2 linked regions of the Canis lupus familiaris genome follow. The protein of the gene in region 1 interacts with the protein of each later gene in a pairwise test. Links are inferred from orthologs where the notes say so. Each region holds a gene or a part of one and is shown in the gene's direction. Other genes may lie near its edges.

Region 1 (6,177 bases):
TGAGGCTTTTCTATATGAATTCCTTCTATAAGGCCATACACCTGAGTCCAGGTCAGAGAGACCCCCTCCCCTCCCCTCCCCTGCCCCATAATGGAGTTAAGTCTTTTTTCTTTTCCTTTGTTTTGCTTTCCTTTCCAAATTTTTTGTTTTGTTTTCGAATAGCATTACTACCTAATAACATTTTTAGTAATGCTCCTTTCCTTTCTCTTCATAATTTGTTTGATTGAGAACAAGCTTCCTGTCACTGACTTCCCGAGTCTCTATTAAGTTTAAGATTCAGTATCTATAATTAGAATAGAAATATTACCTGCAAATGAATGAGGTGTCTCATTAGTACCCACTGTAGGAAATGTCAGGTGTTGGGCTAATTAGACAAGTGACTTGGTCAGTGATGATCTGCTCCCATGTGACTGGACTGGACTGACCTCACTAACCGAGAGGTCAGAATCAGAAACATTTGTGTAACAAAGCCCAGTAAAGCATGAGAATGCCGCTTTCCGCTGCATCTGCTCAGAAATGGGAGATTTCGAAGGCATTTCATAAGTCCCCTGGAACTTTAAACTTGTGCTTCTGGGAGCTTTTCAGTGAAGATACCTTTGTGACCTTGAGCATTTAATTTAGCTTGTAAATTCAAATAGTTTTCTGACAGCAATCAGCTATTTCCAGCTACTTGGCCCTCTTTCGTGTAAGAAATGCTCTTCCCTAGGTGGGACCTGGGGGAAGATGGGGACCAGGTTCCCTCATGGTTGTAGGCTCTGAAAGCCTCATTTTTATCTCTCGGGTGTTGCTGCCACTTGCAGCATGGAGGCCTGGACTCAGTAGGACTTTGGCATGTAAGTAGCACCATGACTGTTGTTCTTAGCAGAACACAGCCGCATTGACCAGGTTCCTCTCACTGAAGTTTTGGTCGTATACCTCCACTCTCAGATGGACAAACCTCTCTGTTTTCTTCCATTTTGGTAGAGACCTTAACAGTGTGAATTGTGATGAACTTGGACCACTGCCACCAGGTTGGGAAGTCAGAAGTACAGTTTCGGGGAGAATATATTTTGTAGATCATAATAACCGGACAACCCAGTTTACAGACCCAAGATTACATCACATCATGAAGTAAGACTTTTTACAAAATCTTTGTTGATCTTTTACATTTATAATTTCATGTTTTCTACTAATATTTCTCTTAATGTACCTACTGCATGGTTTGTTAGTGGAGAATAAGTAAAATATAAATATTTGGTGGGCAGATATGCATTTCAAACTCTCAGTAAACTGTGAGCAGTTCTGTGGGTGCCTGGTTGGCTCAGTTGGCTCAGGTGGCTCTGCCTTTGGCTCGTGTCATGATCCCAGGGTTCTGGAATCAGGCTCCCTGCTCAGCAGGGGTTCTGCTTCTCCCTCTCCCCTCCCCCTGCTCATGCTTTCTCTCTCTCACTCTCAAATAAGTAAATAAATTTTTTAAAAAATAAAAAAAGCCATGAGTAGTTCTGAAGCTGTATTGTTGGCCACCTTTTATTGCTTGCAGCCTAAATAAAATTCACTGAGAGGGCAGTATTAGACAGTACAGCTCCATTCTTGAAGCTTCCGTCATGCAGTTCTCTGAGGGAGTTGGTGGCCCTTAGAGCGAGGGGCAGTGAAATTAGGCTTTTCCTTAGTGCCTGCTCGTCACCACCTGGAAGGGCTGCTACAGTCCATAATGCTCCTCCCTGGAACCTTGTCCTATGCCCATCATTCTGGGACAACTTGGAACTGAAAGTTATCTGGGATCCCATGTTCAGTGTTCTGGGTTTGTTGTGTTCTCTAGAACCTAAGAGCCCACATTAGCCCTTTTCATTGACAGCTGACCTTGGTGGCAGAACCTGAACAAGACAAATGCCACTTCATCCCTCTACTATCCCTAGTCCTTGATTCTACCAGAATTTTCTGAGTGAGCTTAGAAATGCCTGGGTCGTGAAAATGAGGAATGGTTTCCATTATATTGCACTGGCATTGTTTGCCCCTTTATGATAATCTGCTTATGAAATTTCTCACGTCAGCTCCATGTAATCCTAGCCACCAAGGCACATCTCACCAACTACACGTTGGTCAGTCTCACAGATACATACCAGATGCGTGATAAATGATTGCAATTTATGCTTTTCTTTATAGCACTGAAAATGTATGGGATGAGCAGTTGCGTGGAATTGGGGTATCTTCTTTATTTAGGCCGTATCTAGACCTCTCTATGTAGGCCAGTGGTGGCCACTGTCAGTGTTTACACATCTTCATGTATGGTTATATCAGCAGAGAGAACATTTCTTCTCGCAGTTCAGTCACTCAGTGTGGGGGGCGCTGCTTGCAGCTCCCTTGGCTGCTGCTTTGGAGTGACCTAGATGCTTCTGTTCTTTCCAGTCACCAGTGCCAACTAAAGGAGCCCAGCCAGCCACTGCCTTTGCCCAGCGAGGGCTCCGTGGAAGATGAGGAGCTGCCTGCCCAGAGATATGAACGAGATTTAGTGCAGAAGCTGAAGGTGCTCAGACATGAGCTTTCACTTCAGCAGCCCCAAGCCGGCCATTGCCGTATCGAAGTATCCAGAGAAGAAATATTTGAGGTATGGAATTTGGTGTGACCAGCAGTGAGGCACAGATTCTTCATCCCTGTTTACAAACAGTGCATTCTCCTTTCTATTGGGTGTTTCAGGCCTTGATTTTATTACTCAGTGAATTCCAGGGCTTTTTCAGGACCAGTGGTCACACAGAGAAACAGACCGTATTTCCTCTTGTGGTGGAAGTTGAAAAGCTGAAAAGCTCAAGAGCCTCTAAAGTGAAAATAAAAAGATTTACACCGAAACTAGTACTAAATAATCCTGTTGGGACACCTGGGTGGCTCATTGGTTGAGTGTCTGCCTTCAGCTCAGGGCATTGTGATCCCCGGAGTCTGGGGATCGAGTCCCATGTCGGGCTCCCTGTGTGGAGCCTGCTCTCCCTCTGCCTGTGTTTCTGCCTCTCTCTCTGTGTGTCTCTCATGAATAAATAAAGTATTAAAAAAAATCCTGGAAATCCTCTTACCTGCTCTGTGCAGATACACATTCCCAAAATCTGCCTGGTTTCTTCAGAACCAGTCATTCCTTCTATTGCCCTTGCACAGAGCTTCATCCATTGGCATGGCCTCCTCAGAGCAGCTTAGGGACCAAATGGCCACTACATTGTGTTTTCAGGAAATAAGGAAGATCAGCTGGGTCCTGGGAAGGGTTCTGTCCTTCATACAGCTCCTCGGAGGGATCAAGGCCACCAACCAGGCGGGACCCTCTTGTAGACGGGGCCCTTTACTCCAGGAAGATGATCGGAAGGTAGAATCTCCACGATTCTACCTTCATCTGGGCCATATCTGGCCTGCCTTTGTGGCATCATTGGCAGAAGTGATCAAAGGAGACTGGATAGGGCCTGAACGCAGATCCTACTGGGCTGCAGCAGCAGGAGGAGGGGCACAAGGGTGAGGACTGTGGCTTGGGGAGCCCAGTACGGCCTTCATGGTGATGGGTACTGAGGAAATGCCCAGGGTTAGCCTGTGTTCCAGTGTTGGGCGAATGGAGGAATCGGCCAAAATGGCCGTTGAGCAGTCTTAACTGGTTGCTGGGGAGAGAAAAGAGCTGAATTATTGACATGTTGCTGCCAGATCATTCTACTCAGCATCCTCTTTCCCTCTTGGGATGCCAGAGCTTGAATTACATTAAATTTAAAGCATGAAAAGATTCTCAAGTGCCTTATCATTGAAAATGTCTACAAACATTCAGCTAGTTCCACTCAAAATGCTGAATCTGGGGGCAGGCTGGGCTGGCCACCTGTTCTCTGTGTTTTGGGTAAGCTACTGTATGTCTTACTAAAACCCTTCTTTTGCTTTTTTGACTCTGTGGAAATCATGTGGTTCTTCACCTCAGATATAAAAACAGGCTTAGAATGTTTTTACTATTCAGATTCTCTAGTGACATCTTCATGTTGGTTAAAATAAAGAAGCTGTTCTTAGTATGGCCACATTAAAATTAATTTGTGTGGAGAACATGGGCTCTAGGGAGGATGTGTGCTCTGAAGCCTTTAGTGATTATGCTGAGAATGAGTCTGTGAGTGTCCTTTCGGTGTGGTGTTGCCTGGCACCAGCTGCCTTGTTTCTGAGGGAGACCCGGGGAGATCTGGTGACAGGAGCCACTGCATAAGCTACATGGGACACTAGACACCAAATCAACGCTCTGATAGGGAACCAGAGTGAACTCGGATTTAAATGAATATGCATCCTAATTCAGGCTTCATCTGACAACCTTTCACCTTTTTGTAACTGTAACTTAATGCCACCTGTTCCTCTCTCTGACGCTGTCATTTTGCCGAGCAGGAATCTTACCGCCAGATCATGAAGATGCGGCCTAAGGATTTGAAGAAGCGGCTGATGGTGAAGTTCCGGGGAGAAGAAGGTTTGGATTATGGCGGAGTGGCAAGGTGAGGGGCTGGGTCAATCCCACTTTCTGCTCCATGGGGCGCTGCACTGCCCGGATGGGAGGTTTTCGGGGAGGCGCTTGTCCTGGGGTGATCAGGACTCCCACGTGGCCTTCAGCGCTTCTGGCAATGAGGGTGTGGCAGAGCCACACTTTATTTCTTGGAAAGAGAGGTTTAAATTTTTCAAACCCCCACCCCCGCCCCTCCACTCTATCTGACAGCTCCACACCTGAAACACGAGGGACCTGCTCCTGAAATTAGTCTGGGTGGGAGGCAGCCTTGCTCTTCTCAGGAGAGGACTTTTGGGGCACTTGTTTCAAAGGAATTTTGCAAAATGCTATGTTGGTCAAAAGAATTCCTGCACATGATCTTAAAAATAGAAAAATGAAAAGCTGCTATTTCCCATCCTACCTCATTACACCTTTGAGACAACTGCCTTTTTTGCTCTTTTAACTATTTCTTCTAATAGGTAATATTGTATCACTAAATTGACCAAGTTCAGACATTATGCATTGACTATGTATATGGTCATAGACACAGATAGATGATAATGCTTGTGGTGAGATCTAATTTAATACTTTCCATTCCTAATTTGGTGCTGTCACAATTTGTAGATCTTCTTTCATTGTCTTTGTAACTTTACATGATGTGTTTTCATCATTATTTTTGGTTTGTCAACTGGAAACGATATCTCTTGACCTCATTTTCATAAGCAAAAGGGATATAAATACTCCTGACTTCCCCTTCAGAAGTCCTTCCCCCTTTACCTCCTATGTTCTGGCATCCATCATACTTTCACAGTGTAGAGGTGTAAGGTTTCTAGACTGTTCTGTATCCTGTGCATGTTGGCCTATTATTTTTAAGAGTTGAAAATCAGTACATTGTTTGTACTGTTATGACTACGTAAATATTGTTCACTGAGGGCTTAGGTGGTATTTCATAATTTATTTTAGCCTTTTGAACAAATTTTAATTTCTCCAAGGATTTATTCATGTTTGTCTTCTTTTCTAAAAAAGCAGGCTTTGTCTTTACGGCCCCATTAAGCTTCATCTTTTGCTATCCCCCACACCTCCCTTCCTTTCTGTGTCTCTGTCATGGAGACCATCCAGCCCTGGCTCTCTAGGCCTTCTGCACAGTTGTCGTCTTGGGGCTTCGCTGCTTTTTCTGGGCTAGAGCTTTGCTTTTTGGATCTCACAGCTTTCTCTTCCTTGGTTTTCTCTCTCATGTTACCAGAGTCTATTCTTAAGTAGCTTTCTTAGAAAAGACCTGTGGGAGGCAAATCTTCCAAGGTTTTACGGAAAATATCTGTTAATTGTCATTTTGACTGATAGATTGATTTTTTTATAGACTTCTAGGAAGAAAATAACTTTGCTTCAGAGCTTTGAAGGCACTGCTGTCCTGTCTTCCAGCACCGGGTGTTCCTGAGCTGTGGTCTGAGGACAGTCTGATTTTAGGCCTTCCTTCACCAGAAGTTATTTAGCTCCACCCAGGACCACCTGTCATCCAGGATCTACTACCTTTTTTCTCTTTTACACCCCCTTCCCATCCTTCCTCCTTACATGCCATCCACCACCACAGCCACTCCTTCACTTCTCTTTCCATTGGCTGTGCTTGGCCAGTAGAACCTCAGCTCCGAAAGGTCCGTCCTGGGGCCACTGAGCCTCTCCTGAGCAGCAGAGGGTGGCTGGAGGAAGATGCTTCCCTGCCATGTTTCTCTCTG
Region 2 (5,048 bases), on another chromosome or scaffold:
GAGCGCACTCCGGTTCCTCCCAGGTGTCGTCTTCTCAGGCTGACATGTGACACCCCGTGCTGGTACAGTCACGTGGTCGTGCCCACCCAGGACGCCCCCAGGTTCTCCAGGCTGTGGCAGAAGTCGTCACGCCCCTGAGGGGGCTCCAGGCACCATCCAGGCTCCCCTGCCCCCCCGTGGGTGGTGCTGTGCCCTTGGGGACCCGCTGCCGCCCCTGCAGACCCCATGGAGGGCCAGCACCTGCGCCCCTGCCTCGCTTCCCCGAGCCCAGCAGGGCCACACCCCTCAGAGTTGTGCACGGCGCTGGAGCCCGGCCCGGGTGTCGGAACCGCCCTGCCCCCTGCCCTGGGCGGCCCCCCTCGCCGCCCCCCATCCCCCTTCGTTCTGTGCTGCGCAGAGGTCTGAGGGTCGCCCCTGCCCTTTGCACCGGGTGCAGGTTGTGGCAGTGGCCGTCGGGGCTGAGCGTGGGGCAGCACGGCTGCGTGCAGGTGGCGGCCAGTCTGCGGGTCCTCAGGGTCCCGGTCACTAGCCCGCTAGCCCACTAGCCCACTAGCCTGCGTGGCTCCCTTGCCCTCAGGGATGAACCCCGTCCCCCACAGGTCACGCTGGCTGAGCCCTCCTCCTGGCTCCCCACACCCGCTGCCTGCCCGGGGACGGTGCAGAGCCCTCCGCGGGCTCCCCTGCCCTTAGCCGACACAGGGGCAGGGGGCCAGGGGCCGAGGCTCGGGGCACCCTGGTTGCGGGGGGCCCACCCTGACGTGCCTGCGGGTGCTGAGGTCTCCAGGGGACGCTGGCTTGCAGGAGTCTGCACACCCGGCAGGTTGGGACGGGAGGGGGGCCAAGGATGGGCAGCAGAACCTGCAGCTCCGGTGCAGCTGGGGGACGGGCCAAGTGGACCGGAACGCGGGGACCCGCTGGGACCAGGGGACCAGGGGCCCAGGGGTAGTGGGCTCCCGCGGTTGGCAGAGCGCCGAGGGCGACGGGGCTCGGGTCGGCGTGCATCACAGCTGGTGTCCGTGTCCACACCTGCAGATGGTCAAGTACCCGTTGCACGCTGTCATGGAGATCAAGGAGTACCTGATCGATGTGGCCTCGCGGGCGGGCATGCACTGGCTGTCCAGCATCGTGCCCACCCAGCACATCAACGCCCTCATCTTCTTCTTCATCATCAGCAACCTGACCATCGACTTCTTCGCCTTCTTCATCCCGCTGGTCGTCTTCTACCTGTCGTTCGTCTCCATGGTGATCTGCACCCTCAAGGTGTTCCAGGACAGCAGGGCGTGGGAGAGCTTCCGCACCCTCACGGGCCTGCTCCTGCGCTTCGAGCCCAACCTGGACGTGGAGCAGGCCGAGGTCAACTTCGGCTGGAACCACCTGGAGCCCTACGTGCACTTCCTGCTGTCTGTCTTCTTCGTCATCTTCTCCTTCCCCATCGCCAGCAAGGACTGCATCCCCTGCTCTGAGCTGGCCGTCGTGTCCATCTTCTTCACCGCCACCAGCTACGTGAGCCTGAGCTCGTCTGCCGAGCCCTACACCCGGAGGGCCCTGGTGACCGAGGTGGCCGCCGGCCTACTGTCCCTCCTGCCCACCCTGCCCTGCGGCTGGCAGCACCTGAAGCTCCTGGGCCAGACCTTCGTCACCGTGCCCCTGGGCCACTTGGTCGTCCTGAACGTCAGCGTCCCCTGCCTGCTGTACGTGTACCTCCTGTACCTCTTCTTCCGCATGGCGCAGCTGCGGGGCTTCAAGGGCACCTACTGCTACCTGGTGCCCTACCTGGTCTGCTTTATGTGGTGTGAGCTGTCCGTGGTCATCCTGCTCGAGTCCACCGGCCTGGGGCTTGCCCGAGCCACCGTGGGCTACTTCCTCTTCCTGTTCGCGCTCCCCGTCCTGGTGGCCGGCCTGGCGCTCATGGGCGTGCTGCAGCTTGCCCGCTGGTTCCTGTCGCTGGAGCTCACCAAGGTGGCCGTCACTGCGCTGCTGTGCAGCGTCCCCCTGCTGTTCCGCTGGTGGAGCAAGGCCAGCTTCTCGCCGGTGGCCATGGTCAAGTCCCTGACGCGGAGCTCCGTCGTCAAGCTCATCCTGGTGTGGATCACGGCCATCGTGCTCTTCTGCTGGCTGTATGTGTACCGCTCGGAGGGCATGAAGGTCTACAACTCCACGCTCACCTGGCAGCAGTACGGCTTCCTGTGCGGGCCCCGGGCCTGGAAGGAGACCAACATGGCCCGCACCCAGATCCTGTGCAGCCACCTGGAAGGCCACAGGGTCACATGGACGGGCCGCTTCAAGTACGTGCGGGTGACGGAGATCGACAACAGCGCCGAGGCGGCCATCAACATGCTCCCGCTCTTCGTGGGCGACTGGATGCGCTGCCTGTACGGCGAGGCCTACCCGTCCTGCAGCCCCGGCAATGCCTCCACGGCCGCGGAGGAGCTATGCCGCCTGAAGCTCCTGGCCAAGCACCCCTGCCACATCCGCAAGTTCGACCGCTACAAGTTCGAGATCACGGTGGGCATGCCCTACAGTGGCGCCAACGGCTCCCGCGGCCCAGAGGAGGACGACGTCACCAAGGACATCGTGCTGCGGGCCAGCGGCGAGTTCAAGGACGTGCTTCTCGGCCTGCGCCACGGCAGCCTCATCGAGTTCAGCACCGTCCTCGAGGGCCGCCTGGGCAGCAAGTGGCCCGTCTTCGAGCTCAAGGCCATCCGCTGCCTCAACTGCATGGCACAGCTGTCCCCCGCCCGGCGCCACGTGAAGATAGAGCACGACTGGCGCAGCACCGTGCACGGCGCCGTCAAGTTCGCCTTTGACTTCTTCTTCTTCCCGTTCCTGTCGGCCGTGTGAGCCCGTCCCCGCCCGCCTCCCCCGGGCCGCCCAGCTGAGCGTGCGCCTGTGCCCACCGGCCTGCGGACACCTCTGGTCGCCGCCCGTCCCGGGCACCAGCACCACAGGAACTGCCTGCAGCGTTGGGAGTCGACGTGGCCGAGAGCTGGCGGGGAGAGCACCTTCCAGGGGAGGCCCCGCCCACCTGCCCCTTCACTGTCCTGCACCGCTGGCGTCTCTTATTTATTGGGTCACTGCTAAGCTTCGACAGCTGTCTGCCGGAGCGGGGCTGGGGCAGGCAGGGGGCGGGGAGGGGAGGGGCGGCTCTGGGCGCTTGGGGCTCGAGGGTCAGCGTGCAGACGAGGGGCCGATGCACCCAGGATGGGGACTTGGACATGGGAGGCACCCGCGCCGTCCCCTCCTGCGCCGTCCCCGCCCGGCGCTCAGAAGAGTGTGGCCCTGCTCCATGCCGGACACAGAACGTCAAGGTCCAGATGCAGCTGAAATAAAAACACTTCACGAAACCTACTGCTGGTCTTTTCTTTATTTAAAAACACGGTTTTCCTGTACATTGCGGAGAGCAGGTGGCTCGGCCACGCTGATCTCACTGCCACAGTCGCCAGGAGCGGGGCTGACGCTCCCGGTGGCGGGCGACCCCCACCCAGCCCCGGCCAGGGTGCAGCCGGAGGCCCCGCTGCGCTTGGGGCCTGTGGGGTGGGGGGCACGCATGGTCCCGGGGACCCGAGGGGCTCGGCCCTCCTGAGACGGCGCTCGCCTGTGCCCCACGGTCAGGAGCAGACACGCGCTGGCGACACGTCGGTGAGGCCGTGGCCTGTGCTCGCTGCCGCACCGCGATAGAGCCACCTAGGGCGTCGGAGCACGAGGCCGTGCCCCTCGGGTGGGTGCCGTGTCCACGTCCTTCCTGTTTCTTCCCTGACGCGGAGGTCAGGGACCCTGGGGCCTCCCCGCTGTCTGCGCTCGCCTCCGGGCGGCTGCCTCCGGGCTCTGTGGACCCGGCCCATGTGGACGCGGTGCCAGCAGCTGTGCCCCTGCACTAGCTCCGCGTCCCCCAGCGCCTGCTCCCGGGCTCCTCGCCTGCGCAGCCAGACGTGGAAGGTCACACCACCCCCCCCCCCGCCCTGTCCCGGAGCCACAGACTCACGAGGCTGTCTAACACGTCTGCGGTTGGCCTGCCTGGCCCCCCAGGGACCGTCGGGGGGGTGGAGGGGCTCGGCGACCTCATCTGATCCTTGCACTCCATCGGTTGAGAGGGGTCGAGGGACGCCCCCAACGCACAGACACGGCGGGTGCAGAGTGGGGTCATAGGGCACACCAGCAGCGGGGCCGGGGTCACAGAGTCTGTCCCCTGGGCTGCCCCCGGCCCCCAGCGGAGCTGCCTCTTGTGTGCTCTCAGGGCCCAGGCGGGAGGGTTGGACCCCAGCTTCACCACCTCTGTCAAAGCCCCGCAAGACCTGCAGCTGATGGGTCCCGACCCCATACCGTCTCGTCTTTGTCCCGTCCTGTCCCCATCCCCATCCCGTCCCCGTCCTGTCCCCATCCCCATCCCTGTCCCCGTCCTGTCCCCGTCCCCATCCCGTCCCCATCCCCATCCCCATCCCATCTTTGTCCTGTCCCATCCCCATCCCCATCCCTGTTCCCATCCCGTCCCGTCCCCATCCCCATCCCGTCCCCATCCCGTCCCCATCCCATCCCAGACCCATCCCCGACCCATCCCGGACTGCAGAGTGGGCCGTCTGGGCAGGGCCCGGTGCCCAGAACTTACAGGGGACCCTTTGCCTGCTGCACGTGCCACGAAGCCGCAATGCACAGAGCGATGGGTGTTGGCGTCAACTCAGGTGGGTCCCCACGACCTGCTGCGAGCCCCAGCCTGCGCCTGCCCCTGCACACCGGGCTCCGGCAGGCCCAAGCGTCCCCCGCCTCTCCCTCGAGGCCTCACCACGCGACCTGTGGGGTCCCCTCCAGCTTTTTAAGAAAGTGACCCTGGGGCACCAGGGCGGCTCAGTCGGTGAGGCATCCAGGTGTCCCCTGGGGTCCTGGGATCCAGGCCTGAGGTGGGCTCCGCACTCAGCGCTCCCCTCCCTCCCCCCTCCCCCTCCCTCCCCCCTCCCTCTCTCCCCCTTCCAACCCGTCTCCCCCTCTCTCCCTCCTCCTCCCTCACTCCCTCTTCCTCTCCCTCTCTCCCCTTTCCTCCCCATCTCCCCTCCCTC

The links.
Region 2: the proteins of SMURF1 (region 1) and WFS1 interact in binary tests that used the Homo sapiens proteins (3 or more experiments, as listed by UniProt). The link is inferred for Canis lupus familiaris from reciprocal best matches to the Homo sapiens genes SMURF1 and WFS1.

The regions. Positions count from the first base shown.
Region 1 is NC_049227.1:10,555,660-10,561,836, forward strand, and holds part of SMURF1 (E3 ubiquitin-protein ligase SMURF1), read left to right. Parts: intron 1-963; coding exon 964-1,110; intron 1,111-2,385; coding exon 2,386-2,584; intron 2,585-4,356; coding exon 4,357-4,460; intron 4,461-6,177. UniProt on the Homo sapiens protein: E3 ubiquitin-protein ligase that acts as a negative regulator of BMP signaling pathway. Mediates ubiquitination and degradation of SMAD1 and SMAD5, 2 receptor-regulated SMADs specific for the BMP pathway.
Region 2 is NC_049234.1:39,216,091-39,221,138, reverse strand, and holds the end of WFS1 (wolframin), read left to right. Parts: intron 1-1,032; coding exon 1,033-2,841; 3' UTR 2,842-3,348; downstream 3,349-5,048. UniProt on the Homo sapiens protein: Participates in the regulation of cellular Ca(2+) homeostasis, at least partly, by modulating the filling state of the endoplasmic reticulum Ca(2+) store.